Rattus norvegicus: one gene and its partner. The protein of the gene in region 2 interacts with the protein of the main gene of each other region in a pairwise test. Links are inferred from orthologs where the notes say so. Each region holds a gene or a part of one and is shown on either strand. Other genes may lie near its edges. The genes, in order: Nelfe and Nelfb.

Region 1 (16,026 bases), on a different chromosome or scaffold from region 2:
ACTCCAGATTTTCATTATCCACTCATCTCCTGATGGACAAGAATGTTGATTCCAGTTCTTAGCTCTAGAGAATAAAGCAGCAATAACCACTGGGTACTGGGTGCACACACCTCTATGGTAGGGTGTGCAGACGTCTTGGTATATGCCCGGGAATGAATTAGATGAGTCATGTGGTCTTTGTATTTCTAATTTGCCGAGTGATGGTTTCCACAATGGCTCTATTAAATCACAGCCCCCAACAGTGAATAGGGTCCTCTCTGTCCGTGTCCTCCCCATCATCTGTTGTCAGATTTATTGATGATGGACATTCTGACTGGGGTGGGTGCCATCTTGGAGTAGTTTTAATTTGCATTTCCCGGATGAGTAGGGATAGAGAACATGTTTACAAATAGTTATCGGCTGTTTGTGTTTCTTTCTGAAAACTGTCTATCCAGTTAACTTACTGACTGGAAGATTTATTTCTTCAGTATTTAATTTCTCTAATTCACCGTAAACCCGGCATGTGAGCATCTTGTCTGTTGTCTGTCCGATAAGGGCTTTCTCCACTCTGTGAGCACACTGTGTGTGCACTCTGCTGACTGCTTCCTTAGCTGTACAGAAACATTTTGTTCTCTCTCGTGTGTTCGTTTTGTTCTGCCTGCATGTGTGTGTGTGTGTGTGTGTGTGTGTGTGTGTGTGTGTGTATTACACGTGAGTCTAGTGACCTTGGAGGTCAGGACAGGGCCTTGGATGTCTTGGGAATGGAGTTCTAGACAGTTGGGAGCCACCATGTAAGTGCTGGGAACTGAACCCAGGTCCTCTGGAAGAGCAACAGGTGCTCTTACCCACCGAGTCACCCCTCCAGCCTGAAGCAGTGCGTTTTGAAATGACCGAGTGTTCTGCATGCTTCCAGGGGTGTGCGGGATTCTGAAGTCAACCCAGACGGATCATTATTTTCCTTCTCTGTTCTAGGAAAGTCCAACATGGGTGGCTCTCCCAAGCCGGCAGTCGACAACATCAGAGAGATCCTGGGCATCAGTCGGAACAGAAACGACTACCTGGGTGAGGCTCTGCCCTGCCCAAGCCCTATCAGTAGGGAATAGGAATGGGACCCTCTGTGACAGGGTTCAATAGGACCTAGCTGTGGCCCTGAGCCCTGAGGGTTTCCCTGTGGTTCTGCGCGATTGTATCACCTCGAAGAGCCGGGTACCAAACTGTCCATGGTCTGTCCCTACGCTGGCTCCATCTCCAGAGGGCTGGGGCTGTGGACCGCTTCTTCCTCTGTGAGAAACAGTCAGCCGTGGGCCTGCCTCACAGGTGGGTAGGGGAGGAAGCTAAGGAAATGTGAGCTGTTGCAGAGATCTGCTCAGTACTGTCTGCCGCCGCCGTCACCATTGCCACCGTCACCATGTCAACAGCACCTCACATTTCAGGAAAACTGCAGGAAGAACTGGCCTGGGTTCCTGGTAGGGACTGTCCCTCTGGTATCCCTTCAGCTGTAGGGCAGCTAGGCGAAGTGTTGGCAGGCAAAGCTGCTGAAGGAACAAATAATTCCTCAGGGTTAGGGTGACCGAAAACCATGCTGACCAATGACCAGGAAACAACTTAAGTTTTTTCTTGGTTTATTTTTGAGACAAGGTCTTGTTCGTAGAGGCCTGGTGGCCGCAGGTGTCCTTGGCTTGTAGGTACAAAACCTCAATCTTCCCCTCTGTGGTCTCCCCAATTTCTGTTCGGTTTCTACAGCGTCCAGCTAGCTACATCTGGGTTCAAATTTCCTATGTATTTAGTGCAGTGTTGGGGACTGAATGTAGGTTTTTTTTTTTTGCTTTGTTTTGTTTTATTTATTTTTTTTTTTGTTTTGTCTGCCAGGTAAGTACTCTGCCACTGAGCTATAACCCCAGGCCTCTGTTTACTTTTGTTCTAGACACTTACTTTTGATCTATGTGTATGTGTGTGTCTGTGTGAGTACCTTTGGAGGGTGGAAGAGGATGTCACCTCTCCCCAGAGCTGGACATACAAGCAATGGGTGCCGGAGACTGAACTCTGGTCTTCTGGAAGAGTAGCAAGTGCTCCAGACCACTGAGCATCCCAACCTTCTTTTCTGTTATTTTTGGGATGGGCCCAGGCTGACCTCCAACTCACTAGGTAGCTTAGGCTGATCTTACTGACTCCATCTCCTGAGTGCCAGTAACACAACGTGAAGGACCCTGGTGGTGCACACCTTTAACCCCAGCACTTGGGAGGCAGAGGCAGGCAGGTCTCTGTGAGTTCGAGGCCAGCCTAGTCTACAGAGAGTGAGCCCTACTTCTGATTCAGATCACATCCACAATAGAATTGAACTTGGAAACATTCCTTTGGGAACACACGGTGCTATACACAGGATAGAAACAAGGTAGCCCTTCAGCATTCAAGTGGTGACATGATGTGAAGCCAAGAGGGGGTGGCGTGGGAGGGTACTGGGCATTGTAGGTTCAGAAGACATTGCTGAGGAAGACCTGTGTGGGCATCTGGAGGAGAGCGCCCCAGCCAGAGGTGCAGCTGGAGCTGAGGCCTGAGGAGGGAATCTAGGAGGCTGTGGGGGGCTGGGTGGCAGTAGGAGAGGAAGTGAACGTGTGTGTGTGTGTGTGTGTGTGTGTGTGTGTGTGTGTGTGTGTGTGTGTATGTGTGTGTGTGTGTGTGTGTGTGTGTGAAGGAGATGGAGCCCATCTAACTCAGGCCTTTGTCGGCTTTGAGAGTTCAAACACCTGCCTCATGTCTTGGGTGGCCCCTTGAGTCTCAGGCTCTGGTGATTTCCCTCCTGCCTGCCAGACATCTATGCGATTGGGGTGGGTAAGCTGGATGTGGACTGGAAGGAACTGAACGAGCTGGGGTCCAAGAAGGACGGCGAGAGGCACGCCTTCATCTTGCAGGACGCAAAAGCTGTGCAGCAGGTCTTTGAGCACATTCTGGGTGAGTGAGCTTCGTGTCCCCTGCGGGGGACAGCACAGTGGGCACTCAGACGGGTGGGGGGGGGGCTCACCACGAAGCCTGGATCGGTGGCCCTCACCCCCGTCCCCTCCCATCTGGTCTTCGCCCATAGATGTCTCTAAGCTCACAGACACCATCTGTGGGGTGGGGAACATGTCCGTCAATGCCTCTGACCAGGAGAGGACACCTTGGCAAGTCACCTTTAAGGTATCAGGAAGGAGGGGCAGGGTTCGGGTCACAGAGGTTTAAAAGCAGCCAGGCACGGCAAACCCGGACTGCTGTCTCTTCCCTGCAGCCCAAGAGTAAGGAGACTTGCCAGGGGTCGCTTATCTCTGACCAGTGGGTGCTGACTGCGGCTCACTGCTTCCATGACGCTCAGATGGAGGACCGCCACCTGTGGAGGGTCATCGTGGGTAAGTCAGGGGCTGCAGGGGACCGACCCCTCACCCGCAAGGCCAGAGTCACCACTGTCTCTCCTCAGCCTTTGGTCCGGTCTAACCCACTGCTGTTCTCAGGGGATCCCACCTCTCATCACGGCAAAGAATTCCATGTGGAGGAGGTGTTAGTTGCCCCTGGGTTTAATGTCCACGCAAAGCAGAGCCAGGGCATCTCGGAGTTCTACGCTGATGACATTGCCCTGCTGAAGCTGTCTCAGAGAGTGAAAATGTCCAGCCACGCCAGGTGCGTGGACCTAGGTGGGAGGGTACCCTAGAGAGGGCAGTGCTCTGGAAAGCACCAGAGGGCACAGGGAGGATGGGCCTGTCTGACGCTCGCTCGCCTTTCTCCCAGGCCCATCTGCCTTCCTTGCACAGTGGGGGCCAACATGGCTCTGCGGAGATCCCCAGGTAGTACCTGTAAAGACCATGGTGAGTGCTGGAGGCTTGAGGTCCTTGGTGGGTTGCGCCAGAGCTTGCTTGCGGGGTGCCAGCAGGGGTGGGGGGGGCTGCAGTCCTCGAGCTGGACACATCAGCTCTGGGTAAAGAGACCTGTATCGACATCCCCCTTCTCCCCGACGGCAGAGACAGAACTTCTGTCACAGCAGAAGGTTCCTGCGCATTTCGTAGCTCTGAACGGGAACAGAATGAACATCAACCTCAGGACAGGACCTGAGGTGAGAGCTCAGTGAGGGATGCTGGGATACTCTGGGGGGGGGGGCAGCTCCTAGAGTGTCCGGCCCTGTTTGGAGTCGGACCTCGCTGGTCTGCCTAATGTCTCCTGGCACGTCCCCATTCTTCTCTCCTGTGCCCCACGCTGCAGAGGACAAGCTGTATCGAGGCTGTCTCCCAAAACAAGGGCAGCTTCCCCGGCTTGACAAACGTCAGTGAGGTGGTGACAGACCAGTTCCTATGTAGCGGGATGGAGGGAGATGACAGTCCTTGCAAAGGTTAGTCTGGTCCCGGACTTCCAGGGAGAAAGAAGGCTGTGGTGTCCCCGTGGTCAGCACTCACTCTGAATACTAACTAGTGTGCTGTCCTGGACAATGCCGCCCTTTCTTTCTCTGCAGGAGAATCCGGGGGAGCCGTTTTCCTTGAGCGGAGGTACAGGTTTTTCCAGGTGAGAAGCAGGATCTGGAGAGGGGACTCACTGCCAGGATACAAGTGCTTTCTTGCTGGCAGCAGGTGGGAGGCCTTTGAGGGGAACCAGAGAGGTGGAGGCTTGGAGTGGGGCTGCCTTTATCTCCTCATGTTGTCTCTTCCCTCCAGGTGGGCCTGGTGAGTTGGGGTCTTTTTGACCCTTGTCACGGTTCCTCCAACAAAAACTTGCGCAGGAAGCCTCCGCATGGCGTTGTGCCTAGGGACTTCCACATCAGTCTCTTCCGGCTGCAGCCCTGGTTGAGGCAGCACCTGGATGGTGTCCTCGACTTTTTGCCCCTTTAACACGGTCACCGACTCCTTTGCTGGTCTGTCCCTCCTGTCTTCTGCCTCTGAGTGTTCTTGCTCCCAGGTACATAAATCCTGGAACGCAGAGACAAAAGCTAGGAATCCCCAGGGTTGTGCCAGAACCACTGTGCCCTCCCGAGAAGCAAGTGTCTCTCTAGTGTGGATGACCCGTGCTCCTTTTGCTTTCACACAGAATTTCCCAGTTATGAAATTAATAAAAATCAATGATTTCCACATCCGGTCTGTCTTATGTCTTGGGGGTGGGGAGGCCAGGAAGGTTCCAGGAAGGTCAGAGACCCTGCTGCACAAACAGTGGCTGGACTCTGCCCCATCACACAGCCCGGGGAAAACTGGTCTCTAAGTGGGGGGTGGCGGTGGGGGTGGTCTGGGCTTGTTACTAGGGTCTGGGGGCTAAGAGGGAGCTCTGAAAGGGAAGTTCTGGCCCTTGGTCAGTAAAGGGTGGGGCGCTCGCATAGTTTCTGTTTCCTCAGTTGGCAGCTCAGCAGGGGCCCTCCTTCATGAATGTTCCGGGAAGCAGCGTCTGTGCAGGGTAGGTTGGCCAGGCTGCAGGTGCCAGAGCAGATTGCATAAAAGGTTAGGGGCCGGTGGGAAAGGGGTGTAGCCAGATCCAGCACTGGAGTTTCAGTCTGGACAGCAAGTCAAGTAGCCACCCAGAGTGAACTGGAAAGGGCTTTTGGCCACGGGCTTTCCATGACAATGGAGGGTCCCCAGCTCTGCTTAGTCCTCTTGGTCTTAGGCCTCTCCTCCGGAGGTAAGCAAAGGACACTCCATCCTCTTTTTGTCCTCATCAGCTGTCTTTGGTCTTCTGGGGCCAGGCTTCACCAGCCTTTCTCCTCAGGTGTGAGCGCAACTCCAGTGCTTGAGGCCCGGCCCCAGGTCTCTTGCTCTCTGGAGGGAGTAGAGATCAAAGGCGGCTCCTTCCAACTTCTCCAAGACGGTCAGGCCCTGGAGTACCTGTGTCCCTCTGGCTTCTACCCATACCCTGTGCAGACTCGAACCTGCAAATCCACAGGCTCCTGGAGTGTCCTCCAGACCCGGGACCAAAAGATTGTCAAGAAGGCAGAATGCAGAGGTTGGGGGTTTGGGAGTGTGGCGGTGGGTGGCTGGTCAGAGCTGATGGAGGCTGTTCAGTGCCTGGCAGTCTGACCTGTGGGCCGGCTGAGCGTGGAAACACCTCGGGGGTTGGGGGTGCGTGTACGAAGGCTTTCCTCAGGCAGTGAAAACAATACTGGGAAACAGGGCAAGGGAGTCTGGAGATGTAGATCAGCTGGGAGAGTGCTCGCCTGCCGTGCATAAAGCAATGCTGTGCGAAGCAGGAGCAGGGGTGGCGCCCGCAATCCTAACGCTCAGGACATGGGGCCAGGAGGGGGACAAATTCAGTCATCTTCAGCTCCATAGCCAGTTTGAAGCCAGCCTGGGTTACATGAGCCCGTGTCTCAGAACAAAACAAAATAATCCCACAACACAAGAGGAGGGGACAGCAGGGTTGAGGGGACTGGGCAGGTACTGTTTCTCAGTGACAGGATTTCTAAGAGCAGGAAGGACCTAGAAACAGCTCTTGGTGACTTTTACCTGTCTCCCCTAAAGCAATACGCTGCCCACGACCACAGGACTTTGAAAATGGGGAGTTCTGGCCCCGGTCCCCCTACTACAACCTGAGTGATCAGATTTCTTTTCAATGCTATGATGGCTACACTCTCCGGGGCTCTGCTAATCGCACCTGCCAAGAGAATGGCCGGTGGGATGGGCAAACAGCAATCTGTGATGATGGAGGTGAGAACCAGGTCACCCCTGATTTTACTCCCTGCTGGAGGGCTTCACCGTGGGAATGCACGAGCACTCAAATTGTCTTCATGTCTCTGCAGCGGGATACTGTCCCAACCCGGGTATTCCTATTGGGACAAGGAAGGTGGGAAGCCAGTACCGTCTTGAAGACACTGTCACTTACCACTGTAGTCGGGGACTTGTCCTACGTGGCTCCCAGCAGCGAAGGTGCCAGGAAGGTGGCTCGTGGAGTGGGACAGAGCCTTCCTGCCAAGGTGACCCTTGACCTGCTTCCTGGGTTGGCTCTTGCCCTGTTGGCTCCACACTAGAAGTCTCTGGTCCTGAAATCCCATCACCCTGTCAGTACGTCCTCAGTACTCCAGACATCTGATCTACTCTGATCATCCCTAGATTCCTTCATGTACGACAGCCCTCAAGAGGTGGCCGAAGCATTTCTATCCTCCCTGACAGAGACCATCGAAGGAGCAGATGCGGAGGATGGGCACAGCCCAGGTTTGAATACAAGGAGGGAGGTTGAGCAGGAAGCTCAGGGAAGGGTGGGTGGCCTGCCAGGTACTGCACATGCCAGAGACTGAGACTCTGCTGGTACCTAGGGGAACAGCAGAAGAGGAAGATTATCCTGGACCCCTCGGGCTCCATGAATATCTACATGGTGCTGGATGGATCCGACAGCATCGGGGCCAGCAACTTCACAGGGGCCAAGCGGTGTCTCGCCAACTTGATTGAGAAGGTAGATCACAGCTTCCATCCCTTTGGAATAAGGGGAGCTTGTGTGGACTCCACTGCTCTTACAAGACTGGTTTCCTGTGTCTCCAGATTCTCTGGGTCCGAGTCCTGTTGTCCTCCAGCCTTCTCCCTGTCTCAGTAGGAGTGCTGACTACCCACCATAGTTTTAACACAATGGCCTCTTGCTCATGCACAGGTGGCGAGTTATGGGGTGAAGCCAAGATACGGTCTAGTGACATATGCCACAGTCCCCAAAGTCTTGGTCAGAGTGTCTGAGGAGAGGAGTAGTGATGCCGACTGGGTCACAGAGAAGCTCAACCAAATCAGTTATGAAGGTCAGAGGTCAGGGAAGGGAAAGCCGGGAGGTGCACCTTGGGGCTGTGGTGGTCAAGAGGCTCAGGGTTCTTCTGGAGAAAGTAGACAGACTACTACTAGTTAGAGGTTGAACGAAAGTGTCCTTGAGCAATAGAGAGTGCTGGGAGAGCCAAGGGCAAGCAGGTGATCACCTAAAAGTTAAATATTGCCTGGACTTGGTGGAACAAGCCTTTAATCCCAACATGCAAAAGGCAGGTGGATCTCTGAGAGTTCAAGGCCAGCATGGTCTACATAGTAAATGTTAAAGAATGTGGGATCTTAGTTGTCATAGACTTCTGAGGGGTAATAGTGGCTTGGAAGATAAGGTCAATAACCTCCCTTTCTCTATAGACCACAAGCTGAAGTCAGGGACCAACACCAAGAAGGCTCTCCAGGCTGTATACAGCATGATGAGCTGGCCAGGGGATGCTCCGCCTGAAGGCTGGAATCGAACCCGCCACGTCATCATCATCATGACTGATGGTAAGGCCTTTCTCCTACCCCACCGTCCTCTCAAGTCCTGCACAAGTGTTTGTCTCCAGCCGGTGTATCTTCCTTGACCCACTTTCACAATCCTCCTGTTTCCACAGGCTTGCACAACATGGGTGGAGACCCTGTCACTGTCATTGAGGACATCCGAGACTTGCTGGATATTGGCAGGGATCGCAAAAATCCCCGGGAGGATTATTTGGGTGAGTGGCTCACTTGGGATCCAGCACCCTCACTCCTCAGGGCCTGGACCCTTACCCTCTCCTTCTCTCCTTCAGATGTGTATGTGTTTGGGGTCGGGCCTCTGGTGGACCCTGTGAACATCAATGCCTTGGCTTCCAAAAAGAACAATGAGCAGCATGTGTTCAAGGTCAAGGACATGGAGGATCTGGAGAACGTCTTCTACAAAATGATCGGTAGGAAAGCTCAGGCTCAAGGGTGTGGAAGGGGAAGCTGCAGGCTGAGGTCGCCAACTCCTCTCACCCTATAGCCCTTAAAACCTGGAAGGCTCACCCCATGCCTATTCTTACTTCTGACATTCACTTCCTGACTTCTCACAATCACAGAACTGATAGCCTACTTTACAGATGTGGAAACTGAGGCCAAGCACAGCAAGTCAGCACCCAGACTGTAGCTAAAAATGCTCAGTCCTCAGATTGCCTGGTCAATCTTTCTCACTACGCCATGGGGGTTCCTCATTTAACACACAAGAGCCCTCTCTCCTGCTTTCCTTCCCTCTTCTGTGCCTCTGCTGTCTACAGACATGAAGGGATCCAACAAAAGTGGCAGCAATGACAAGCCTTCAGTGTTCTTTCCCTGACAGATGAAACCAAATCTCTGGGTCTCTGTGGCATGGTGTGGGAGCATCAGAAAGGCGGTGATTATTACAAGCAACCATGGCAAGCCAAGATCTCAGTCACTGTAAGCTTCCCAGCACTGGGGACTTGGGGAGGTGAGATGTCCACACTAGCTGTAATCCTGGCTGTTCAGGAAGCTGAGGCAGGGTAGATTCATGGCCTGCTTGGGCTACAGTGAGTTCAAGGTCAATCAATTCAAAACTGACTGAAAGTGGGAAAGGAAGCTGGGCATGGGACACATCCGTGCTGGTAACCTGGCATTTGGAAGTGAGCACAGCACTGCCTTGAGTCTCAGGTTAGTCTGGGCTACACAGTAAAGCTGTGTAGATGTAATGAAGAGAAGAAAGCTGGGGCTAGTGTTCACCTAGCTTGTACGAAGCTTGTCTCCAGCGCACACACCAAGGTTAGTCTGCACTGGCTTCCTAGCGTCCTCTGAAAGGACATGAGAACTGTATGGGGGCCGTGGTGTCCGAGTACTTCGTGCTGACAGCAGCGCATTGCTTCACAGTGGAAGATCAGAAACACTCCATCAAGGTCAACGTGGGTAAGACTCTGACCTCCAGGCCCATCCTCAGGAAGCACTGACGTTATGACCTGTAGCTCACCCATTCTCAGCATGCCCCTCCCTTAAACCCTGACCAATCAAGGATGGGGAAACAGAATCCAAGAGATAAGATGGGGCCAGAGGAAGGAGGCTGCTCACATAAACATGGTTCCCATTCTCCTTCACTCAGAGGGGAAAAGGCGGGACCTGGAGATTGAAGAGGTCCTGTTCCACCCTAATTACGACATCAATGGGAAAAAGGCAGAAGGAATCTCTGAGTTCTATGACTATGATGTTGCCCTCATCAAGCTCAAGACCAAGCTGAAGTACAGCCAGACTCTCAGGTGAGTGGGGCTGGGTCCCAGAGGAACTAGGGAAGGTGGGCTGGAGCATAGGACACAACAGGCTGTCTGTGGTCCCTCACTCTACCTGTCTCCATAGGCCCATCTGTCTCCCCTGCACAGAGGGAACCACCCGAGCCTTGCGGCTTCCTCAGACAGCCACCTGCAAACAGCACAGTAAGGCATAGTCTGGGCTAAGACAAGGAGGAGACTCCCGAGACAAAGGGGCAGAGGAGGGAGCTGCAAGTGTAAACTGCTCAGTTCAGGGCCTAGCACCTAAGGGCCCAAGGGACACCTGCTAGATGAGAAGCAAGGGGACAGCTGGCATGGCCCTTTTACTTTTCCAGAGGAAGAGTTGCTCCCTATGAAGGACGTCAAAGCTCTGTTTGTATCCGAGGAAGGGAAGAAGCTGACCCGGAAGGAGGTGTACATCAAGAATGGGGAAAAGGTGATAAGAAGTTTCTGGAGAGGGTCACATAGGCCTCATTCTTTCCTGAGCTAGTTTTGTTTACCACACCTTTGTCGCCTACAGAAAGCCAGTTGTGAGAGAGATGCTACAAAGGCCCAAGGCTATGAGAAGGTCAAAGTTGCCTCTGAGGTGGTCACCCCCAGGTTCCTGTGCACCGGAGGGGTAGATCCCTATGCTGACCCCAACACATGCAAAGGTGAGGTGGCTCTCTGGCTATGCGGCAAGCCCACACAGCCCAGCAGTCTCCCCTACAGCCTCTCTCTTCTACAGGAGACTCCGGGGGCCCTCTCATTGTTCACAAGAGAAGCCGCTTCATTCAAGTGAGTGGTCCCTTTTCCAGTCCATTGGGGAGATGCTCAGGTGTCACAAAAAAGGAAGCTTGATGTGCACGGCTGATAAAGGTGGCAGAACGGGCCCACCTCATCTGTTCTTAACTGGCCAGTGAAAGCCAGGTTATGTGCACCATAGAAGAGAGAGGAGCTGGCTCCCAGTGCACTTCTTTAGGCCAGCTCAGAAGCTTTCTGGGGTTATGAAGTGTCAAGTGACCATGGCCCTCCTTATCTACACAGGTTGGTGTGATCAGCTGGGGAGTAGTGGATGTCTGCAAAGACCCGAGGCGGCAACAGTTGGTGCCCTCCTATGCCCGGGACTTCCACATCAATCTCTTCCAGGTGCTGCCCTGGCTAAAGGAGAAGCTCAAAGACGAGGACTTGGGTTTCTTATAAGGAGCTTCCTGCTGGGAGGGTGAGGGCAGATTAAAGCAGCTACAATACAAATACAAAGTGTGTTCCACATCTTTTTGGGGTAAGGGAGTGGGGCGTGCACTGGTTAACAACACTGACAGCTGCTTTTGAAGGCTCAACTCCAATCCCAAGTGCTCAAAGACTAGAGGCTGACAGAGGTGAAAAGCTTCTACCCCAGGATTTTACTGAGACCAGCTTGGGGGCATATGAGGCACAAGGAATCCAGCTTCATGTCCTAGAAGCCATCCACAAGGTTTCCTATAGATCGTCACTGTACACAATCTGGGTCCTCTTGTCCCGGTGGCAACCCTTGGGGCTGTTCTGGACAGCTAAGGAGGGAGGAAAGTGACAGTTAAGGTCTGAAGCAGTGGCCGCTTCCATTAGACCTGGGGTCCAGAGCCCTGGCCCTGGTCCACCAGGGCTTACTCTGCCCTCTGGTGGCCACAGTCTCACCCTGGCTTAGAAAACCCAGAGAGTTAAACCCTGAGATCTGTGCAAATGAAAAGATCAGAACGCCTGTGGCCTTGCCCGCTGGGCAACGCTGGCTCCTCCTGGTGTCTACTGTGCTTACTTCTTCTCCAGAAAAATCTGTTTCAGGCAGAATGGGCTCCCCACACTGAGAAATCCCACCCATGGGGACCTCTGTGAACCAGAGTGCTCAGCGTTTCTTTCCTCGTCCTCCTCTCCTGCCCCAGGACTCCCTGTGGGGCTGAGAGGCAGCCTCCTCTTTGGTCTTACATCCTTCTCAGAGCCCAAAGCTTCTGGGGCTGCTCTTGGCTTGGACCCTTCTCACGGTTCCCTTGCCGCAGGCTCCACTGGGCCTAGCAAGCTGGAGGTATGCTCGGCAGACAGCAGAGCCCGGCTTCCTAGCGTTTTTGGTTCTCTAAACCCACCACGGGTCACTTTTATTTCTCCAAAATCCCATCTCTGATGGGTCCAGATGCAACAGAACTGATCTACACCTCCATGCCTGGCTTCCACCTGAGGTCCAGACCCACAGTACCAGGTCCAGACAGTGCTCCAGCTCAGAGGACACACTGGCTCCTACTTTCCTGTCTGTGACGCTCACTACTGGGGGACCCTGGTTTTTGTTTTTGTTTTTTGTTTTTTTTTTCTTTTCGGAGCTGGGGACCGAACCCAGGGCCTTGCGGTTGCTAGGCAAGCGCTCTACCACTGAGATAAATCCCCAGCCCCTTAAATAAATGGCTTTTCAAAACAAGATTTCTCTGTGCAACCCTGGCTGTCCTGAACTGAAAAGGGAACCTTTTAACGCTGTTCTCCTTCCCTCACCTGACAGATACCCTGGCAATTCTCCATCCTCTGCCTATGTGAAGACCCTGACCTTTGGCACTTTAGGCCACTCAAAGCTGTAGAGGGAACAGGAAAAGCTGTGCTGCAGGAGGGGGAGGGAGGGCCTCATCCTTACCAAGGGAGCCCCAGACAGATTTGCCAGTAGCAGCGTCCAGCATGGGCTGTTTTCGGGCTATGTTGACTTTGAGCTGCACAGATTCCACCTGGGTCCCATTGAGCTGTGGGACAAGAGGGGAGGGGACAGAGGATGGGTATTACATGGAGCCAGTTGCTGCCACCCTGGGAGGAGACCAAACAGGCATGTGAGGATGCAGGTTTTCTTGGTCAGGAGGAAAGTTTCCTCTAGGAGCAGGCATTGTTAGGAAGAAGCAGGAGGATGACAGGAGGGTGGGAGGAGCGGTCTGAGAAGTCCCAACCTCAGCAACAGCCTGATCTGCTGACTCCATCTTCTCGTAGGTGACGAAGGCACAGCTGGGTGAGAGAAGGCAGAGTCAGGGGGCTCCATGGGGCTCCACGGACCCAGTGACCCCCATGCTGCACACCAAGCGGCTCCTTCCCAGGATGCTCAATCCTTACTTTCTGGGTGGGTCCATGGAGAGGTCGATGATATTTCCAAAGGGAGAGAAGGCCCCTCGGAGGAGGGTGGGCGTCATGTCCTCTCCATACACATACAGAGTGTTCCCCTTTCGAGGGGCCCTCCGTTCGGGGAATGAGTCTGACCCTGTGGGTTAGGAACCATAGTCATTACCGAGTCCACATCACCTTCTACTTAGCGTGACCCACCTAAACCCTGGCCAAGACCACTCACTACGGAAAGGGCCCTCTCGGTCTCGCTCCCGGTCCCTGTCTCTGTCCCGCTCTTTGTCTCTGTCCCGGTCCCGGTCTCTGTCTTTGTCTTTGTCCCGTTCTCTGTCTCGATCCCGGTCTCTGTCTCGTTCTTTGTCCCGGTCCCTATCTCGGCTCCGATCATGACTTCTGTCCCGGCTGCGGCTTCGGGGAGGGGAGGCTGAGGATCGGGCACCGCTGTGTTCTTCATAGCTCCAGTCAAAACCTCGAGGTGGGCCTTCACCAGCCCCAGGGGCCTCTGCTTCTTCTCCATCTTGTCCCAGTTCCCGAAGCCGATCACTAGAAGACACAAAGCTGGGGAGAGGAAGATTACGGTGAGGATCAAAGGGGATTCCACCTTCCTCCAGACCTTGCGTAGTCAACCATGTCTCTGCAGCTGGCCCCTTCCACTCTAGCCCTGAACTTTCCAGTCACGCTGGCCTTTGGCCCCATACCAAACGATGCTCTCTAACCTTTCATACAGAGATTTCCTTTGGGGCCGTCTGGATGGCTGGGGGAAAAGAAAGGACAGAGAACAATTAAAATAACTCCCAGGCACCGGAGTGGGTGCACAATATGTGGGTCTCTTGCCCCCGATCCCAGCCCCACAGAAACCATTACCTCCTGTAGGTCCTCGTCAGCAGACATGCTCCTCTGGAACGGCTGGAAGGTGGGGACAGGCCCCTTCTCTGGGTCCTGGAAAGTGGTAGACACCCATGTTATTGTGGACCAGGAGAACTCTTCCCCCTCTCCTCGGCTTCTCTGTTAGACTTCTTATGGTGATGTGTTGGTCTTTTTGATTGATATGTTTTTTTGTTTTTGTTTTTTGTTTTTTTTTTGTTTTTTGTTTTTTGAGTTAAAGCTTTTCTGTGTAGCCCTGGCTATCCTGAACTTGCTCTGTAGACCAGGCTGTCCTTGAAGTTAGAGCTCTCGGACTGTCTGGTCCAGGCGCTGGTATTAAAGGCGTGCGCCACCATGTCTACTGATGTGCTGATTTTTGAGGAAGAGGCTTGGTCTACTCAAACCTCCCTTCAATCCAAGAAGCACAAATATGGAAAAGAGACGAAGGCATCACCCAGGTTTCTCTGTAATAGTCAGAAACCTAGGGCTCCAGTGGGCTGTGGTGGCAAACACTACCTTTTTTTCAAGGCCTAGGCCAGAGCATCAGTTGAGCTCATGAGTACAGTCAGACCCTGTCTTGAGGAGCAAGAAGGACTAGAAGTAGAGAAACACCCTAAACCTCAGGACAAGCACAGCTTGCTCCTATGTGAACATGCATGATTTCTCCCACTGACCCCCTTCCGGCTGACGCCAGGACGCCCCAGACAATCTTCCTGTGCGCTCACCTTTAACTTCCCTTCCAGGGTCCGAGAACGTTTGAAGCCTGAGTTCTTAGTTTCAGCCTTGATGGCACTGATAGCTCCTGACTTCACCAGCTGTTTGGCCTGTTCTGTTGCTGTGGCAGTATCCACCACAGGCTGCTCTGACAGTGCTGAGGAGAGAGGGACGGGGAGGGGACAGAGGCATTAGGCTGGCTGTGGAGGGAGGCCCTGTGCTGCTGCCCCCTGGACTCTGTCTCTATCACTTACAGCGCTTGACACCGCCCTGGCTCGCTGTACCACTGCTGCTTTGCTTCTTCAGAGCCAGCAACGCCTTTTTCTGGAAAGGAGAGAGGTCGGTGAGAAGAGAGGTCTGTCATCCAAGGCACTGGTCTCTTAGGTACGTGATCCCAGGGCCTGTGCCTGTGGCATCCTGGGCCTGGAGTGGTTCGTCCTGCCTTCACGTAATCACAAAGCCCACAGTACTTAATCTAACCAAACCATGGTGTTCAAAGGCTTTCCAGTCTCCCATTTTGGGAACTGAAAACCAAAAACAACTAAGCCATATCACATAAGCTGCAAATAAGCCCTGAATGCCATCCTTGGGGGTTTTATCCACCCATCTCCCATCTTCTGCATATTTAATGAGGCCACACAGAATCAAAACACATAGTTCCCACCTATAAGAAACTCAGAATCCATGGGGTTGGGGATTTAGCTCAGTGGTAGAGCACTTGCCTAGCAAGCGCAAGGCCCTGGGTTCGGTCCTCAGCTCCGGAAAAAAAAGGGGAAAAAAAAAAAAAAAAAAAAAAAGAAAGAAACTCAGAATCCAGGGAACGTAACGGCTAGACTGACAGCCAAGAATAATCAAAGGCACTAATCACTCACGGCTGAGTACAAACAACACTTTCAGATGGTTAAGTGACTACTAAACTGAGACCTGGTAGGACTGCCCAACAGACAGAAAAGATACTTCAGACAACGAAACGAAATCAGGGTGGTGAAAATGCAGAGGAGGCCTTGGAAGGCATGTTTTAAGAGAAAATGATTCTGTCGCTTTTGAGACAGATACTTCTTGAGCTGATACTTCAGGGCTCTGTTCTATACACAATGTGAAACCTCCTTAGTGCTTTCAACCGATCAGGCGAGCCCCCAAAACAGCAAAGCAAAACCCTGTTTGGAGGCGTTGGTATGAGAAATCACTGGGAGGTTTCACTAGTGAGGCTGAGGACACCTATAGTTCCATTTCCTGAGAGAAGCTGACGGAGGAAGATCACAAGAGCTCAGGAGTGGGAAAAAACACCCAACCTGGTAACATACTGAGATCCCGCTGGGGTGTGGGGGTGGGGGACACAGTGGAAGAGAGAGGAAGGAAGAAACCATTGACAGACTTGACAGATGTTTTGCTGTGTAAAT
Region 2 (16,270 bases):
AGGAAGAGGAGGAAGCAGAGGAAGAGGAAGAGGAGGAAGAGGAAGAGGAGGAAGCAGAGGAAGAGGAGGAAGCAGAGGAAGAGGAGGAAGCAGAGGAAGAGGAGGAAGCAGAGGAAGAGGAGGAAGCAGAGGAAGAGGAGGAAGCGGAGGAAGAGGAGGAAGAGGAGGAAGAGGAAGAGGAGGAAGCGGAGGAAGCAGAGGAAGAGGAGGAAGCAGAGGAAGAGGAGGAAGCAGAGGAAGAGGAAGAGGAGGAAGAGGAAGAGGAGGAAGAGGAGGAAGCAGAGGAAGAGGAGGAAGCAGAGGAAGAGGAGGAAGAGGAAGAGAAGAAAGAGGAGGAAGCAGAGGAAGAGGAGGAAGCAGAGGAAGAGGAGGAAGAGGAAGAGAAGAAAGAGGAGGAAGCAGAGGAAGAGGAGGAAGCAGAGGAAGAGGAGGAAGAGGAAGAGAAGAAAGAGGAGGAAGCAGAGGAAGAGGAGGAAGCAGAGGAAGAGGAGAACCTCCATCTTTATGCACCATCCTCTAAACAAAGGAGAGTCAGCCCGTCATCAGAGCAACAGGGTGCCCCTGAGGCAGTTCTTCCCAATAAAGCCTGCAGCCTTAGGTGGTAAAAATACAGGTAAACATACAGGGCTTTTCTAGGTTCACCCTTGCTCTCCAACCACGACACAGAGATGTGGTGAATTAAAAGGTTCAGGCACTAAGCGGAGCAGATGCTAATCTATTCTAACCCAACTATGCTGACCTGGCCTATTTCCCAACCTATTTTCCAACCTCTTGTGCCATCATCTGCCACCTTACCTCACCCTCACTGCTCCTGCTCCACAGCCCTCCCATCCTGACCCCCTCCGATGGGACTCCCTCACTGGGACTGGAATTCCTGAATTGTTCGCTCCTGATAGCTATAGACTGATCAGCTCTTTACTGAGGAATCAAGATGACTGAGAAAAATGTTTTACAGAACATTGAGTCAGGAAATGCTTCATAATTAATGACAATATCAAAATCCAAACTGAAACCAGGTCTCAGAACTGAGAAATCAGCATCTGAATACACAGTACACAAAGCCATTCCCTAACAATCTAGTACCATCATAGAACCTCACTATGGCCCTGTTTTTACTTTAAAGAGCCCACTCAAAACTTCCTGGTTTTAAGCTTGTGCCATCCCAGGCACCTGGGGGAAGGTCTCCTTGGATAAGAAGACCCAAGGAGTTTTACTTTTTTTTTTTCAATTAAAACAAAATAAAGGTGTGATGGTTTGTATAGGTTTGGTCCTGGTGTCTGTTCGCAGCACTAAATTCCTAACTAGGACAGAAGTTGGTACCAGGAGTGGGGTATTGTTGTGATAAGCCTGACCATGTTTCTGTTTGGAAGAATGTGGATTGAAGGGACTTTGGATTTGAAAAACCATGGGATGTTTAAGTGGGGCCTAATGAGCCATCCTAGTAGAAATATGGAAAGATTTTGTTGCTGTGAGGGATTTGAACTATGCAGACCAAGCCCAAGAGGTTTCAGTGGAAAAGAACTTCACTATGTGGTCTAGAGACTGTTTTTGTAGTATTTGGTGAAGAACAGTATGTGGCTGGTTTTTTGCCCTTGTCTGAAGAGTGTACCTGGGGCTAAGGTGAAGAGAATCAGATTAATTGCATTGACAAAGGAAGTCTCAGAAATGTCCATCATAGACTTTGATCTATGGTTAAGTCTCATGAAGAGCGTTTTGAATAAGCATAGCAAGCTTAGAAAGGAAGAATACAAAATATATGGTTTGAGTATTAAAGGAGCACCAGGAAGTGAAATGGAGCTGAATCCTGTGTTCAAGGATATTAAATTGAATTAAGGGAGTGGTAAGATCTCACTCAGCTAAATTCAGGTGCAGGTACCACACACCTTTAATCCCAGGAGGCAAAGCCTTGTAGATCTCTGAGTTCAAGGTAAGTCTACAGAGCAAGTTCCAGGACAGCCACACTGTCAGTGAAGGAGTTAGAAAACAGAAAGCTGGTGATGATGTAATATAACAAGGGGGTCATGGTCTAGCCCCAGCAAGCAGCAGATTTTGGAAGCTTCAGCCATGTGTCTCTGACTTTATAGTCAAAAGGAAAAGGAAACTACTGGGACAATTGATGCTGGTTAGCTGGAGTTAAAAAATTAGCAATAGGGGGAGGGGTTAGGGGGATGTTGGCCCGGAAACCGGGAAGGGGAATAACAATTGAAATGTAAATAAGAAATACTCAAGTTAATAAAGATGGAAAAAATAGAGGCTGGAGAGATGGCTCAGCGGTTAAGAGCACTGACTGCTCTTCCAGAGGTCCTGAGTTCAATTCCCAGCAACCACATGGTGGCTCACAACCGTCTGTAATGGGATCCGATGCCCTCCTCTGGTGTGTCTGAAGACAGCTGCAGTATACTCATATAAATAAAATAAATAAATAAATAAATATTTTAAAAAAAAGATGGGAAAAAAATTAGCAGTAATTAAGAAGAGACCAGTATCACTGAGATAAAATCTGGGAAGATTTTCTGAGAGCACACAGATCCTGTGTTCCAGAGATAGCAAAGGTTGCACCTCATGCGGCAGCTGTATTTGGTAATGTGTAAGAGTCACCCAGGTGGTACTGGTTTGAAGCATGAAGGGGTCATGAAGAGCAGCTGAGGCTTGGCACTGTGAGAGGCCACGGAAGGTCATTGGTACAGCCTCAGTTGCAGTTGATGACCCAGGACTGAAGGTGTCATGCAAAGGAGTGAGGCTTGGCACCATGAAGAGAGCCTAGGAGAGGGTACTGGTGAAGCCTAGGTGCAGTGGAAGACCTCCGTGTATGGAGATGCCAGTGCCATGGGATGATCACCAAGAACAGCAGCAGCAGTGGAGTGGATCAGCCTGAGCTTAGAGTCCGACAGAGGGCAGAGCTGGAGAAGTGATGCCAGCCCTTTGGAGGAGCCCAGAAGATCATGTGTGAATCCCAGACATTGAAACAAGAAGCTCTAACACTGAAGCTGCCTTGGAGACCCCAAGATGTTTGAGATGCCAGAGCCGTGAGCTATCTGCTGAGGAAAGCTGCTAACAGGGAGTGGAATGAGCCCAGAAAAGAAGTTTGTTGCAGTCAACAGAGATGCAAAAGGAGGTGGAGATCTGAAGGTTGCTTTGACATCAGACATGGAGATGCAGAGTTTGGAGTTTGCCCAGCTGGCTTCCTGTCTTGCTTGGGGGACTACAGTTAAGGGCTTGGATGGATCTCAGAAGAGACTTGAACACTGTTGAGACTGCTCTAGACTGGGGCTCTGGAAGTTGGACTATTTGTGTTTTGCATTATGCTATGTTTAGGTGTGGCCCCAGAGACTCATATGTTTGAACACACCTATGGGGGCCAGGGAGTGGAATGTGATGGTTTGTATAGGTTTGGCTCAGGGAGTGGCTGGCACTTTTAGGAGGTGTAGCCTTGTTGAAATAAGTGTGTCACTGTGGGTGTGGGCTTTAATACACTAGTCCTAGCTGCCAGGAAGTCAGTGTTCCGCTAGCAGCCTTCAGATGAAGATGTAGAACTTTCAGCTCCTCCTGTACCTGGATGCTGCCATGTTCCTGCCTTGATGATAATGGACTGAACCTCTGAACCTGACAACAATTAAATGTTGTCCTTTATAAGACTTCCTTGGTCATGGTGTCTGTTCACAGCAGTAAAACCCTAACTAAGACAAAAGGTGTTTTATGTTTTGTTTTAAAACAGGGTCTGGGGGCTCTGGGGGTTGGGGATTTAGCTCAGTGGTAGAGCGCTTGCCTAGGAAGCACAAGGCCCTGGGTTCAGTCCCCAGCTCCGAAAAAAAGAACCAAAAAAAAAAAAAAAAAAACAGGGTCTGTCTACGTAGCCTGGGTCTTTCTGGACAACCTAAACAAGAGGGCTGGTGAGATGGCTCAGTGAGAAAGGCTATCCAAGTCTGGGGACTCGAGTTGATTTCCTGGAACCCACATAAAGGTGGGAGAACTGACTATATAGACCAAGCTTATCTTGAACTCTCAGAGCTCTGCCTCCCTCTGCCTCCTGAGTGCTGGAGTGAAGGACATGCACACCACACCTGGCTGTAGAAGTCTGAATCCCTGCTGTAGGAAATCACAAGACCCACTGGCATCTCTGAAACAGAGCCCAGCCTGCTTTACAAGCATGCACACCGAGTGTCTACTGAGGTAAATTACAAACACAGAAATCAAGCTATGGGAGTTGGAGATAAAGGCAGAAGATAGTTGGCAGAGCTCAGCAGACAGGTGGCAGGGGAGCACAGCCATCAGAACTCACCAAGACCAGGCAGCAGGCGCAGGAGAGCATTCTTGTTTCTCTGCTTGGTGATGTGTAGAACATAGTACAGTCCCACCTCACAAGCCATGCGCTGCTCCTGCAGAAACCTGCATGAGAGAAGCCATGGTCTTCCAAGAGTCAGCCTGCCAGCAGCAACTTCCCTGTCAGCTCCACTCGAGTGCCTCCCCCAAACCCTGCCCTGGAGTCCTACTTGGTGAAGCTTTCAGGAAGCGTGTTGGGATATGTGACTGGGGCTTTCTCCTCAGCTGGAAGCTTCTGATCTACGTTGAAAGTGTAGTCATCCACCACGAAGGACATGAGCATCGGCAGGAACTTGGTGATGAGCTCTGCCTCCTGGCAGAAGGAATGTCTGAGTCCATTAAGGTCCCAGTGCGCCTGGCTGCTCTCAGCAGACACCCTAACCCACTCAGCCATGTACATCTAGCCCTTATCCACCCAATACACTTGCCTCAAACTCACATTTCTTGGACATTGGGCCCCCAAATCCCTCCTTCCTGTTTCCTGAGATTCATGTCTACTGCTATATTCTTGAATGCCCCCATCATGGCTGCACCTGCAAAGCCCCATCTGGATCCCAGCCCCTAGAATAGCTTCTACCCTGCAGCTAGTCCACCAAGACACCCAAACACCCTTGATGGGAGCTCCCCTAAAAATGACTCTAGGAGTAGAGTTGTGCTACCAGAAGGCCCCCACCCTTGCACTCCCATAATTTAGCAGAAAGGAGGACCCGGGCCTCATACCATCTTGGGCTCCTTGAAGACCTGGCTGTCTATTAAGTCCCATGCACCTTGGCCCAGTGCCAGCAGCCTAAGGAGGAGGAGGAGGTCGGGACTGTCCTGAAAGAACACAGAGGCATCGGCAAGGGCTCCCAGGGACCATGCCATCCTCTGGTCTCACTGGGCAAAGCAGGCTCTCTGCTTTCCAGAGCCAAGACCCTAGGAGTGTGTGATCATAAGGCACCCATGTGCCGATACCCACCTATGGAGAAAAACCCAACTTTACAAGTGACAGTCTGTGCTTTGCGCAGTCAGCAGCCATGACTATGCTCACCCTGGGCAGGGTCTCCTGGCTAACCAGCTCCTGCAAGTGCCTGATGGTGCTCAGGGACAGAGTGTTGATGGCAAAAGGGTCACACAGGATCATAGACAAGTCCCTGGAAGGAATCAGACCTTGATATAAATTGAGGAACCTGGTTACTCTGTTTCTAATAGCCACAGTGCCAGACGCACTAAAGGGACAGCCACAGACTGGGATGCAAGGGCTTGGGGACTGACCCCAGATAGCCAGCCTCTCTGTGTACTGAATTCATAACTTACCCCCTAACTTACTCAAAGATCTTCTAATCTACAAAGTTAAAGAAAAAAAATTAACCCTCAACACACTAAATCCAGACCCTGATTGAAAGACCCTGAGTCGGGGCAAGCAACGATGATACATGACTTTAATCCTAGCATTCAGGAGAGAGAAACTCATGATGAGTTTGAGGCCAGCCTGGTCTACACAGTGATTCTCAGGTCAGCTTGGCCACAAATCAAGAAGATCCTGTCTCAAAACAGAACAAACCCCTGGCTTCAACTGTAGGCTTAGCCAGTGAGTGGAGAATATAATAAAGAAATGTGGCAAGGCCGTGGCAGCCACAACATCTTCACGCCAGGCAAAGGATGCTGGGAATCAGGCTGGAGTACCTAACCCAGCCTAAGCTCACACCTAACTTGCCACAGACAGCAGCCCCTCCCTGACTCAGCTCCCTGTGCTGCCTCGGGAATAGCAGGCCTCAAACTCCAGGCACAGGCATGGATTCTCTTGCTACTGAGGCTCATTCCAAGTGATGTGTTAGCACCCTGTTAACAATGGGCCTAGTACCAAGGATGAGCATCCCAAATATACCAGAACAGGCTCCAACTGCCAAAGGTGAACAGCAAGCCCCACTGATGTCTGTTTAGGGATCAAAGGGTAGGGTCCTTAAAAAGCTCTCACCCCAAAACTTGTTCCTGGCCCTTCTTCACACCATCAAGGAATCCCTGCAGCTCTCGGGCTCGTTTGCTGTCCACAAACCGCTCACGGATGCAGGCATCCAGGCACCAGGTGAACTAGGGGATGGAAATAGACAGTCTAGATACACACAGACTCATTCCTCCTCACTCCACTGCCACTACCCAAATGGCTGTGGGAACCACAAGGCCAAATACAGGAGAGAAGCAAAGATAAACACAAGCCCAGGGCCAAGACCCCAGCCTAGGCCAAACGCAGGGCAGAGAACGAAAGGGGTCCCTGGAGAGAACAGAGAAAATGGCCATCAGGAAAAGGGGTAGCCGAAGGGGGGCAGCAGCAGTCTCCAGGCCTAGACAGCCAACACGACCATTTGCCGTGCACTCGATCGGCAGGTATTAACAAAGGAAACCAAACAGTTCTCATTCCCAGACATTCCCAGAGACAACATGGCACAGGACTGAGACACCAGTGAGCTTTCATGAGGACTAGCAGGAGGTCTCCCTAGGTCTCAAAAGTACTAAGGATCAGGACAGCACATGAGAGAGGCATATTTATTCTTCCTAGAAGGGAGCTAAGGAGGGCTGGCAGACAGATGGACAGGTTATGGCAGATATGTAGTGCTGCTCAGTGCCTGGCTTTGATAAGCAACACACCATGTACCCATGAGGTGGTCTTAGGTGTCCTGTGTTCTTGGTGGGGGATAGAGGGAGTGCAGAAAACCTCATTCCTTTATTACTTTGCTACTGGACAGCGAGAAGCCCTGAGGGTTCTACGGCAGTAGACACCAGGAGCCCAACAGGAAGATGGTCTCAGGGCCTGCTGCCACTTGCAGCTATAGAGCAAAGGCTAGAGGGACTGCAAGGGAGGCACCAGGAGGACAACCATGTGTCTGCAGGACCTGTTCATCCACTCCCAGTCGAGCTGAGGAGCACAAAGCTGGCAAGCTGAGAAGCAAGCTTAGGCGCACGTGGTCAGCAGCCACTCCTAGGTTGGTGAGTGCAGAGGAGAAGGGCGCAGGAGAAGTGCAGAGGGAGGCAGGCACCACTACCTTATGGCAGGGATCCACGGTGCAGATATCACTGACATCCAGGTCATGCAAAGACATCAGCAGCTCGGCTCGTAGCGTGCAGTAGTGCACATTCCTGGTCCGAAGGAACAGTGTGCGCAAGAACTGCAGCACCATGTCATACAGCTTCACGTTCTTCCCTACCATCTGTGTCAGCTTCTGCACCACCTAGGAGCAGACAGACAGACGGAGTCCAAAATCCCACCCCGGGACAAGGAAAGGTGGACATATCTAGCACTTGGGAAACAGAGGTAGGTGGATCTGAGTTCTAAGTCAGACCGGAACTCGTTCCAGATCAAGTTCCAGATCAGCCAAGGTTACATAAAAAGACTGTGTCTCAAAAGACTAAAACAAAACATAAAAGCCCAGCACCACCCAAGCACAACACGACACGGACAAGTTCCCCAGGCCTGGATACAGAGCTGGCCGCTCTGTTTCGGCCATGAGATATTTCTTTCTCTGTCATGAAATGCTGGCACTATATTCTAGGGGGCCAGCTTTGACTACTCCAAGTGAAAGATCCACATTCATCCCAGGGACATCCTAAAAGGCCCTGGGTCTGCAATCTACTGTGCTTCAAGCACTCACCTGTCAGGTTAAGGGGTAGGTGACTCATCCTAGAAGCAGTGGTGAGAACCAATCTGAAGAACGGGCCCAACACAGAATGCTTGGCTACACAGCTGCTGCCTTTGGGCCTAGGTGAACGCCTATCAGGCCACACTGGGCTCTCTGCTTTCCTGTCTTCTAGTACTAAACCATAAACACTGACACCCAGCTCTTCCTTACCTTGTACTCTAGGCAAGGGCCATGAAGGGCACCTGCCTGTTCCTTTGGCAGGTGTCACCCACCTTACATGTACCCAACTACAGCAAACCAAACAGTCCAGCTCCAATAGCTGGGGGTTTAGGGAATAGGTGTGCCTTTAATCCCAATACTCAGGAGGCAGAGACAGGCAGGATCTCTGAGGTCAAGACCAGCCTGGTCTAGAGGGAGTTCCAGGACAGCTCAGACTACACAGACAAACCCTGTCTTGGGAAGAAAAAAAGTCTTCACCAACATAAAGAACTTTCACTCAGCTACTAACTGACCACAGTCAACTGAGTCTCAGGCCTATGGTACAAAGAGACATTTAGGGTAAGTCCAGAGTTAAGATAGCACAGGAAGCCCAAGGCATCAGGTTAGCCTCAACAAGAAGTGAGGTCAGCGGGAGGAGGTAGAAGAGTGCAGGAGCCAGTGGCTGGTCTGTTGTTTCACTCTCCAAGACCCCTGCCAAGAACTCTCGGACTGACCTGGATCTTCATCTCAGGAACAAAATCTTCACTGTTCCTGTCACTGAGCCATGTGGATGGTCCAAAGTTCTCCTATTCACTGGGCACAGACCACAGATACACTCTAACCCTGACACAGAGGGACCACCTGCTCATAGGCAAGACAGCTAACCTACAGCCAAGACTGTAGGGTGATCCACCAGCTCTGTCCCCAGGGTTGGAGAATCACAGAGCACTGAGAGTGTCTGCAAAGTCTCCAAGAGGAGAAACAGGCCAGCATCAAAGTGCCACAAATCAGACTCATCTGCAGAAACTGACAACGGAGAATATCAAGAAAGGTCTTTGGCACTTAGAACTGTAATTCTAAATCTAGCCACTTGGCCCAGGAGTCCAAACAGTGTCCATTGTGTCAGCTGTGGAAGCTCACATGAGGAGTGATAAACTCCAACCAGACAGGAATGAAAGGAAAGGAAAGGAAAGGAAACCTGGAGGCTGTAAGAAACGGCCCTGTCAACACGGGGCAGACACTGGGCTGACCGAGACCTATGCGGCCTAACACGTCAAAGTCAGAAGCAGAAAGTCAAGAAGGCCTGGGGACCTAAGAGCTTGGTGAAGCAAGGAAGAAGCCAGAGTACCACTGGGAGCTAGACAACTCGAAACTGTGTACCCAAGCCCAGTGCACTTCTGCCCTCCCACTCTCTACTTTATTGACGTGACAAAGGGTCTCTCACTAAATCTGCAGGCCCTCAAGTCCCAGTGACTTCCCCTGCCTCTGCCTCCTCCCTCCCAGCACAGAGACTAAAACTGGAACAACACAGAGAAGGTTAGCATGGCCCCTGTGCAAGGATGACACACAAATACAAGAAGCATTCTGCATTTAAAAAAAAAAAAAAAAAGCTCATCTATTTTTGTCAAAGTAGACACTAGAAATTTTTTTTTCTTTTTCCTTCTTTTCGGAGCTGGGGACCGAACCCAGAGCTAGGCAAGTGCTCTACCATTGAGTTAAATCCCCAACCCCCCGACAGTAGAAATTTTTGAATGATTTATATAAATTTATCTTTCTACTAAACAGTGTTAATGTAAAGTAAGCTAGTTACAAAATCTTGACTTAAGAACTGGCAAGATGGCCAGAGGTGGTGTGTAGGCTTTTAATCCCAGTACTCAAGAAGTAGAGACAGGCAGAGTTCAAGGCCAGCCTGGTCTACACAGTGAGTTACAGGACGCCCAGGGCTACACAGAGAAACCCTGCCTCTAAACAAAGACTCCTGCAAGTTGTCTTTTGGTCTCTACACAACATGGTCATTCACAGAGATACATGATAAGTAACTTAATAAATAAATTCTCAACATAAAAGATGATGCTTATGGGCTAGAGAGATGGCCCAGTGGTGAGTGAGCACACTGCTCTTCCAGAAGAGCTGGGTCCAATCCCTAGCACCCCACCAGGCAGTTCACAGAGTCCAGCCCCATGGGCATCTGACCTCTGACCTCTGTGGGCACATACTCACACATGTTGTATACAAACAGGGAAACATCAAGAAATAATTAAAATTAATTTAAAACATTTTAAAGATGTCACTTATGACCCAGACATGGTGCCCACGCCTTTAATTCCAGCACTTGGGAGCAGAGGCAGGTGGATCTCTGTGAGTTCAAAGCCAGCCTAATCTATATAGGGAATTTCAGACCAGTCAGGGTTACATTGAAAGATCCTGTCTCAAAAATAAATAAGGAAACCACTATGGTAAATTTGAATTTAGAATTATGCCAACATCAGTAAGAGGTAAGAATAATAGATAAAAAGTTAAATTCAGTGTTTTTCTTTTCTTTTTTTTTCTTTTTTTTTTTTTTTTTTGTGATGAGATCAGGCTGGCCTCAAACTCACAGCAATCCTCCTGCCTCAACCTCTGCCAACCAACTTTTTCCAGGCTACATACATAAGTTCACGCTTACAGAAACAGACTAAGTAACACACACAGGGAAGAGGCAAGGAATGAAGGGCTGGCCACACTCCTGCCAGGCATTTGCCTCACTGAGCACACCCTGCCTTCCTCTCACCTCTCCCTGACGCCTGGTCTTGGGGGAAGGGCTGAAGAAGTTGTGCAGGACAGAGAGCTCCGTGCTGAACAGTGCACTCTCCTTCTCTAGGATATACTGCTTCAACAGTGGTGAGACTTCATCACCAAAGAGAGCCTGGTTATCTTGCCAGATCTGCCTCTTCACTTCCACAGCACATGCCCGGTACAACTCCTTGTCAGCCATCACCAGCTTCAGCTTCTTCTCAGGAACCTACAAAGTAAACACCACAGCTCCCTGCAAGTGCTGCCTGTGTCGCCAAGACTCCTCCACCAAGGCCTCAGTTGCCCACAGACCCTCTAGAGCCCAGCCACATCGAGGAGAACCTGTGAAGGACTTCCAATGCTTAGCAGGTGAGTTCAGACATCCAGAATCTCCACCACCCTCTTCCCAGGAAAGACCCACAGAGCACTTTAAGGGATACATGTGCTTCCACTGGGCTCAACCAGGGGAAGTGTATGATACAGAGAAAGTGCCCAGAGTTTGCCAGGGAGCAAGTTCATAAAACTTTCCCAGAGCTAACCAACCGCCTGTACTAATCTCATGATCTACAAGGGCTGGCTCCACAGCTCTCACCTTGGGCAAGTGTTTCATAACACACATCACCACTGGCTGTAGGGATGGCATCTTGACCAGAGAAAAGCTCTTTTCCAGAAGGTCTTCCAGCTTCTTGTACCTGCGAAGACTTGCTCAGTTGTGTTCTCCACATGCAGAATATACAGAGAAGGGGAGTCTCTCAAACACATTCAAGGTTCTAGCTACAAGTAGGGCTGTGCAGCCACGGAGACCGTAAATGCTACTCACAAACATAAGCAGCTCCCTGGTAGAGACCCACCTCTCCTCTGCCTTTCCCTCAGAGGCAATAGCTGACACTCGTTCCAGCAGTTTGTCGCGTAGCTCATCAAACACTGACTGATGGAACTCCAGCCGCGGTGTCCCGTGTAGATCCAAGAAGGGCAGGGCCGACTGCAGGGAAGGCAGCAACACGCCATTCTCTGTCTGGAGAAGCAAAGGGTAAACGCGTACGCATTTTGCTTGGCCGCAGCCAAATCAGCACGGGCACCTCGGATGCCCTGAGTAAACGGGTCCGCCATGGTAACCGCGGGAAAGGAAAAACGCCGAGAGTTACTCAGCGGGTCCCTAGCTCAGAACCTCTAGTTCTTCCATCTAAGCATCGGGAGCGCACCGAATTGTGTCCCGCTTCCCTAGCTGCCCCGGTCCCTTCTGCCTACCTGAAATTGCTCAATGGCCTTGAGAGGCTCGGTGCAGTTGGTTAGGGTCTCTTTCAGGTCCTCGCCATTGGCCACGCCCAGGTCCTGGAGCCCCGCAAACATGGCCGAGGCTCCGACGGCCGCTCGGCTGTGTACCCCATCCCCGCCGCGCTCTGCTGGAGCCGTAGCGGACGCTGACGGAGCCCCAGACGTCCTTTCCACGGTGCCACGAGGACCACCCAAGCCCCGTTCGCCCGCCGCCTCCAGTGTGGCCAGATCGCGTCAGCAGAGCTGCTTGCACCGACCCACACCTCCCACTTCCGCCCTTGACTGTCTAGGTCCAGCAGCCAATAGGCCCCGGGAAAACGCCGCCGCCGCGCGCAGGTTCCGGGCAGCGACTTGGGTACAATGGTGGGGTCGGGATTATCAAGCAACTCTAGCCCCGGCCGCCGCCAGTGCTAGGAAATTTTCAGCCTTTCACTTCATCTGCTCTCTGGGAACCAGAACCTACGCCAGTTCCAAGAGATCTGATGCCCTCTTCTCACCTCCACAAACGCCAGGCATACATGTGTTATACAGACATACATGCATTTATATGCATAAATGAAGTCACTTTTTAAGTGAGTTCTGGTTTGGGCTTAGTGGTACGCTTTTTTCCCCCTTGAGACAGACACTTTAGACCAGGTTGCCTCAAACTCAGATCTCCTTCCTGCCTCTGACCGCTGGGATTAAAGCCTTTAGGCTTGGGCTGTCACACTTGGCAATAATGCTTTAATCCTAGCACAGGCGAATCTCTGTGAGTTCAGGACTAGCCTGGTTTACATAGTACCTTCCAAGACAGCCAGGGCCTCCTGGGGAGGACGGAAAGAAAGAAATCAGCTCTGAGAGCTAGGAAAATGGCTCAGCAGTTAAGAACGTTTTCTGCTATTACAGGGGACCTGGGTTCAGTTCCAGCACCTACATAGCAGCTCTGTAACATCAGTTCCAAGGAATCTAATGTCTTCTGGGCACTAAGCACACATGATACATGGACCATACTAGCAAGCAAAACACCATAAAATACATTTTTAAAATGTTCTTTAGTGAGATCTATGTCTGGGTGAGGAAGAAAATATGGAGAGGGCCCTGGAGAAACTACTATGACTAGCTGCAAGGTGAGGCTCCTGAAGGGTACTCCTTCTAAGTAGGAAGGCAGGTCAACAGTGCTGAGGGAGCCATCACTGGGCAGGGGCTAGGGCTGAAGGCTTTGGGCTTGGGTTCTCAGAACACAAGTTAGCAAAAACAGTTGAATCTTCAGGTCGAGGCTCCAGTAGACCCATGTCTGGTGAGCTGACTCCCTGGGTCCTACCTCATGGGCTGGGCAAGGCTGTGTGAAGACAGCTCCATAGGTTCTGGCTTCCCATCCCATCCCAATAGTTCCACAGCCAAGCAAGCAGCCCTGATCCTCAGGTAGATGCTGGACCTCGGGTGACTGGATCAGGTTGTCCCACATTGCCACAGGGTTCTTTTCCTATTCTATCCTAGGTCAGAAAGCTTAGGGTTAGTTCCCAGGCTACTATTTCAATCCTGAAGAAAAGAACACCATGCAGGAACAAAGAAAGCCAGAAATACCAGGGAAGCAGGAAGTCACATATTCAAGACAGCCCATTAGGCAAAGGATGGGCAACCAGGCACACCAGAGACCACAGTTCAGAAGAATCATTTGTATCTCGGTATAGCGGGGGTTAGGGAGACTCTAGGAAGACTCTTCTTATTGCACAGCCTAAGCTAGAAGAGTGGGTGAGGGGTGTCTAGAGGGTCAGAAGGCCAGGCTACAAAGAGTTCCAAAGGAAGCCTAGGAAAGCCTCAAGAGAGGTCAGTTTTGCAATCTATATCCGATGGGCCTACAGTGTGCAGAAGGGGCCTGTGTCATGGCGCTTGGGTCTCCGCACTCCTTGGATAACTACTCCAGGTGGAGAAGGGAAGCGTGAATTGTAGCAGTCTTCCACGTAGTAGGCAGCTGGACCTGGGGTTCGGGCTGCAGAGAGAGTGAGCTGACCCTAGTCCTCACCCCAGCATCCTTCCCTTCCCCTGCGGCCCAAGACCCAAACCACCCCCAAGCCTCTTTTTCTAGGTCTTCCTTACTGGAGCTGACCCAGGATGCAAACGCAGGAGAGCGGCTCATGGAGAAGGCGGGTGAGCGTGTGCTCTGCAGACGGCACCCAGGAAAGATGTTATAGGTGTTGGGGCCGGGTCGCTTCTCGCCAGAGGGCTTTGAGGTAGCCAAGAGTGGGGTATAGTTACAAGGACCTCGGGCTCGGAGCATCCCCGGGCGGAAATGCCTCTCAGGTATTTTGGCCGAAGAGCGACGGCGGCTTCCAAAGCTGAAGGCCGGGAAGGCAGGCTGACTCAACGGCGTGTACTCGGCAGGCGATGGCCACTATGAAGAGTCAGGACGCTACAACCTCCTTGCCCAGCTTCATCCTATCCTCCTAGACCTGACCCATGCTTTTGTACCTTCCGAGATGCTGGTTCTCAGATCTCCCTCTACGCCAAACCCAGGCACATAGCCCCTCCCACAGGCTGTCTGACCCCTCCTTTCCTCACCTCCTCCTCCTCACCTGCAACACCCCTACCTCCTCAAGGTGTCCCCTTCTCCCACTCTTCCTCTACCTGGCCCACACAGTGTCCCTACCTTTGTCTCTCGGTTGAAGTCAGTCTTCTGTGTGAAGGGGCTTTCACTCTGGAGCCACATGGTCTGCCATGCCCTGCGGCCACCACCCTCTGCAGTGGGGCGGATGGTCGGTGGGGAGGTTTTCAGGGCATGAGGTTCCCATTCCCCCGGTATAGGCAGGATTTGTAGGGACATGCACCTCGACCCGGGTACTTGCGCCCGATGGTGTATTGGGGGTGTGGAGAAGATTCTCGCAGAGACACATTGGGCGCCTCATACTGGGTTGGGCCAGGGACATCCAGGTCTGTCAGGATTGGAGGACGTCTCTCTAGCCCTGATACAAAAAAGCAAACTCTAGACCCATTTCTCCTTAGAAGGCTATTTTCCCAGCCTCCCCTGGCCGGCCTGGGGAGGGAGTGAAGACTCTCACTCACACAGCTCCCTCAGAGTCCCTGTGCCAATAGGTGTGGACTCATTAGGAGTGCCTGATTTTAATTTGAAGCCGCTTGAAGCTCTCTTCATCTTTGGGAGCCACATCTCATCCCAGGCAGCCTCCAGCTCCTGGTCCCACCATAGCACAGTAGCATTGGACCTGCAAGGAAGCCAACAGCCACTGTTCATCTATCCCAATGGTCTTCCCACTGGGTTGTCCCCCCACCCCAACCCCCCATCCACTACCCTCGGAAATTACTGGGTGAGGTGAAGAGATTTCTGACTCAGGGGTCCCCGAGTCCAGTGTTTGCCTCCATTGATGTAAAAGTTTGCCAGGAATTTCACAGCCTTCTGGTCAAAGTTCATTCTGGGGCCTGGGTTCCTTTGCCTGAGCGCACTGCTGGGCTCTGTGACCTCACTGGCGGATCATGCCCCTCCCCGCTGTTGCTGGGAGCTCCCTGGGAGAGGAACATTGTCCAGATCAGGAGGGGCTCTCCCACAGGGCCTCCATCCTTAATACCTGCTGAGACTGTCATCCAGGTCAGCCTTGGTCAAGACAGGTTCTAAACTGTCCCAACCCTTCTTCCCTTTACTGGGGGCTTGAGTCCACTCTTCAGGGAAGTCTGGGACCCCACCCTAGGTAAAGAAGGGGCAGGGCCAAGCGCTGCAGGATGGCTCCATGTGAGGGCCAATTGAAAGGGTATAGAGAGAAAGACAGTTGGGGGGGAGGGGCAGCGGCTGCCTCTACAGCAAACCCCATCATGGGGAAGCAAAGCCACTGAGACCTGGCTACTGGTCTGGCCAGTGCAGGCGGGGCTAGTTATAAGAACTTGTCTTCTGCCTCTACCTGCAGGCACAGAAGCTAGAAGGCCAGAATGTATTAGATGAAGTAGGTTGTGCCTAGATGATTACAAAGGTATACTGAGTCTGAGCAGGACTCAGGCCCTTCCAGAGTGGCCTCTGATGCTGGCTGTCCTGGCTGTCCTACCGCTGACCTTGTCTCCAACCATACCCAAGCAGGCCCCAGACAAAGATACCTTACCCACAAAGCCTCCTCCAGCCTTCTACCATGACTGTGTCTCTTCCTTTCTGGATCTCTCCCTCTAGCACTGGCCCTGACTGATACTTTTCTGGATAGACGGATGGAGACATGAGGAAACAAGTTTGATTTGAACAAAGGGACCACAGGCTGCCTGGAGCCTCCTCCTACACTGTGCAGTGTCCTTTGAGAACGAATTGATGGTATTAAGGTACCTGGTGTGGAGGGTTCTTA

Evidence for each region.
Region 1: the proteins of Nelfb (region 2) and Nelfe interact in binary tests that used the Homo sapiens proteins (3 or more experiments, as listed by UniProt). The link is inferred for Rattus norvegicus from reciprocal best matches to the Homo sapiens genes NELFB and NELFE.

The regions. Positions count from the first base shown.
Region 1 is NC_086038.1:3,969,945-3,985,970, forward strand, and holds the end of Nelfe (negative elongation factor E), read right to left. Parts: intron 14,951-16,026; coding exon 14,881-14,950; intron 14,784-14,880; coding exon 14,638-14,783; intron 13,988-14,637; coding exon 13,913-13,987; intron 13,803-13,912; coding exon 13,765-13,802; intron 13,607-13,764; coding exon 13,275-13,606; intron 13,188-13,274; coding exon 13,043-13,187; intron 12,938-13,042; coding exon 12,883-12,937; intron 12,685-12,882; coding exon 12,582-12,684; intron 11,485-12,581; coding exon 11,414-11,484; 3' UTR 11,317-11,413; downstream 1-11,316. Other genes in the region: complement C2, read left to right, coding at 952-1,041, 2,788-2,928, 3,059-3,153, 3,242-3,359, 3,462-3,627, 3,736-3,812, 3,966-4,057, 4,204-4,330 and 2 more; Cfb (complement factor B precursor), read left to right, coding at 5,538-5,598, 5,686-5,919, 6,435-6,620, 6,713-6,886, 7,023-7,124, 7,226-7,362, 7,555-7,693, 8,064-8,195 and 10 more. UniProt on the Homo sapiens protein: Essential component of the NELF complex, a complex that negatively regulates the elongation of transcription by RNA polymerase II.
Region 2 is NC_086021.1:28,413,311-28,429,580, forward strand, and holds the start of Nelfb (negative elongation factor B), read right to left. Parts: upstream 12,255-16,270; 5' UTR 12,189-12,254; coding exon 11,934-12,188; intron 11,701-11,933; coding exon 11,537-11,700; intron 11,378-11,536; coding exon 11,278-11,377; intron 10,915-11,277; coding exon 10,684-10,914; intron 9,508-10,683; exon of another isoform or gene 9,403-9,507; intron 7,527-9,402; coding exon 7,341-7,526; intron 6,391-7,340; coding exon 6,278-6,390; intron 5,454-6,277; coding exon 5,351-5,453; intron 5,137-5,350; coding exon 5,041-5,136; intron 4,634-5,040; coding exon 4,491-4,633; intron 4,387-4,490; coding exon 4,280-4,386; intron 1-4,279. Other genes in the region: protein STPG3, read right to left, coding at 13,855-14,331, 14,587-14,675, 14,765-14,899, 15,000-15,157, 15,257-15,363. UniProt on the Homo sapiens protein: Essential component of the NELF complex, a complex that negatively regulates the elongation of transcription by RNA polymerase II.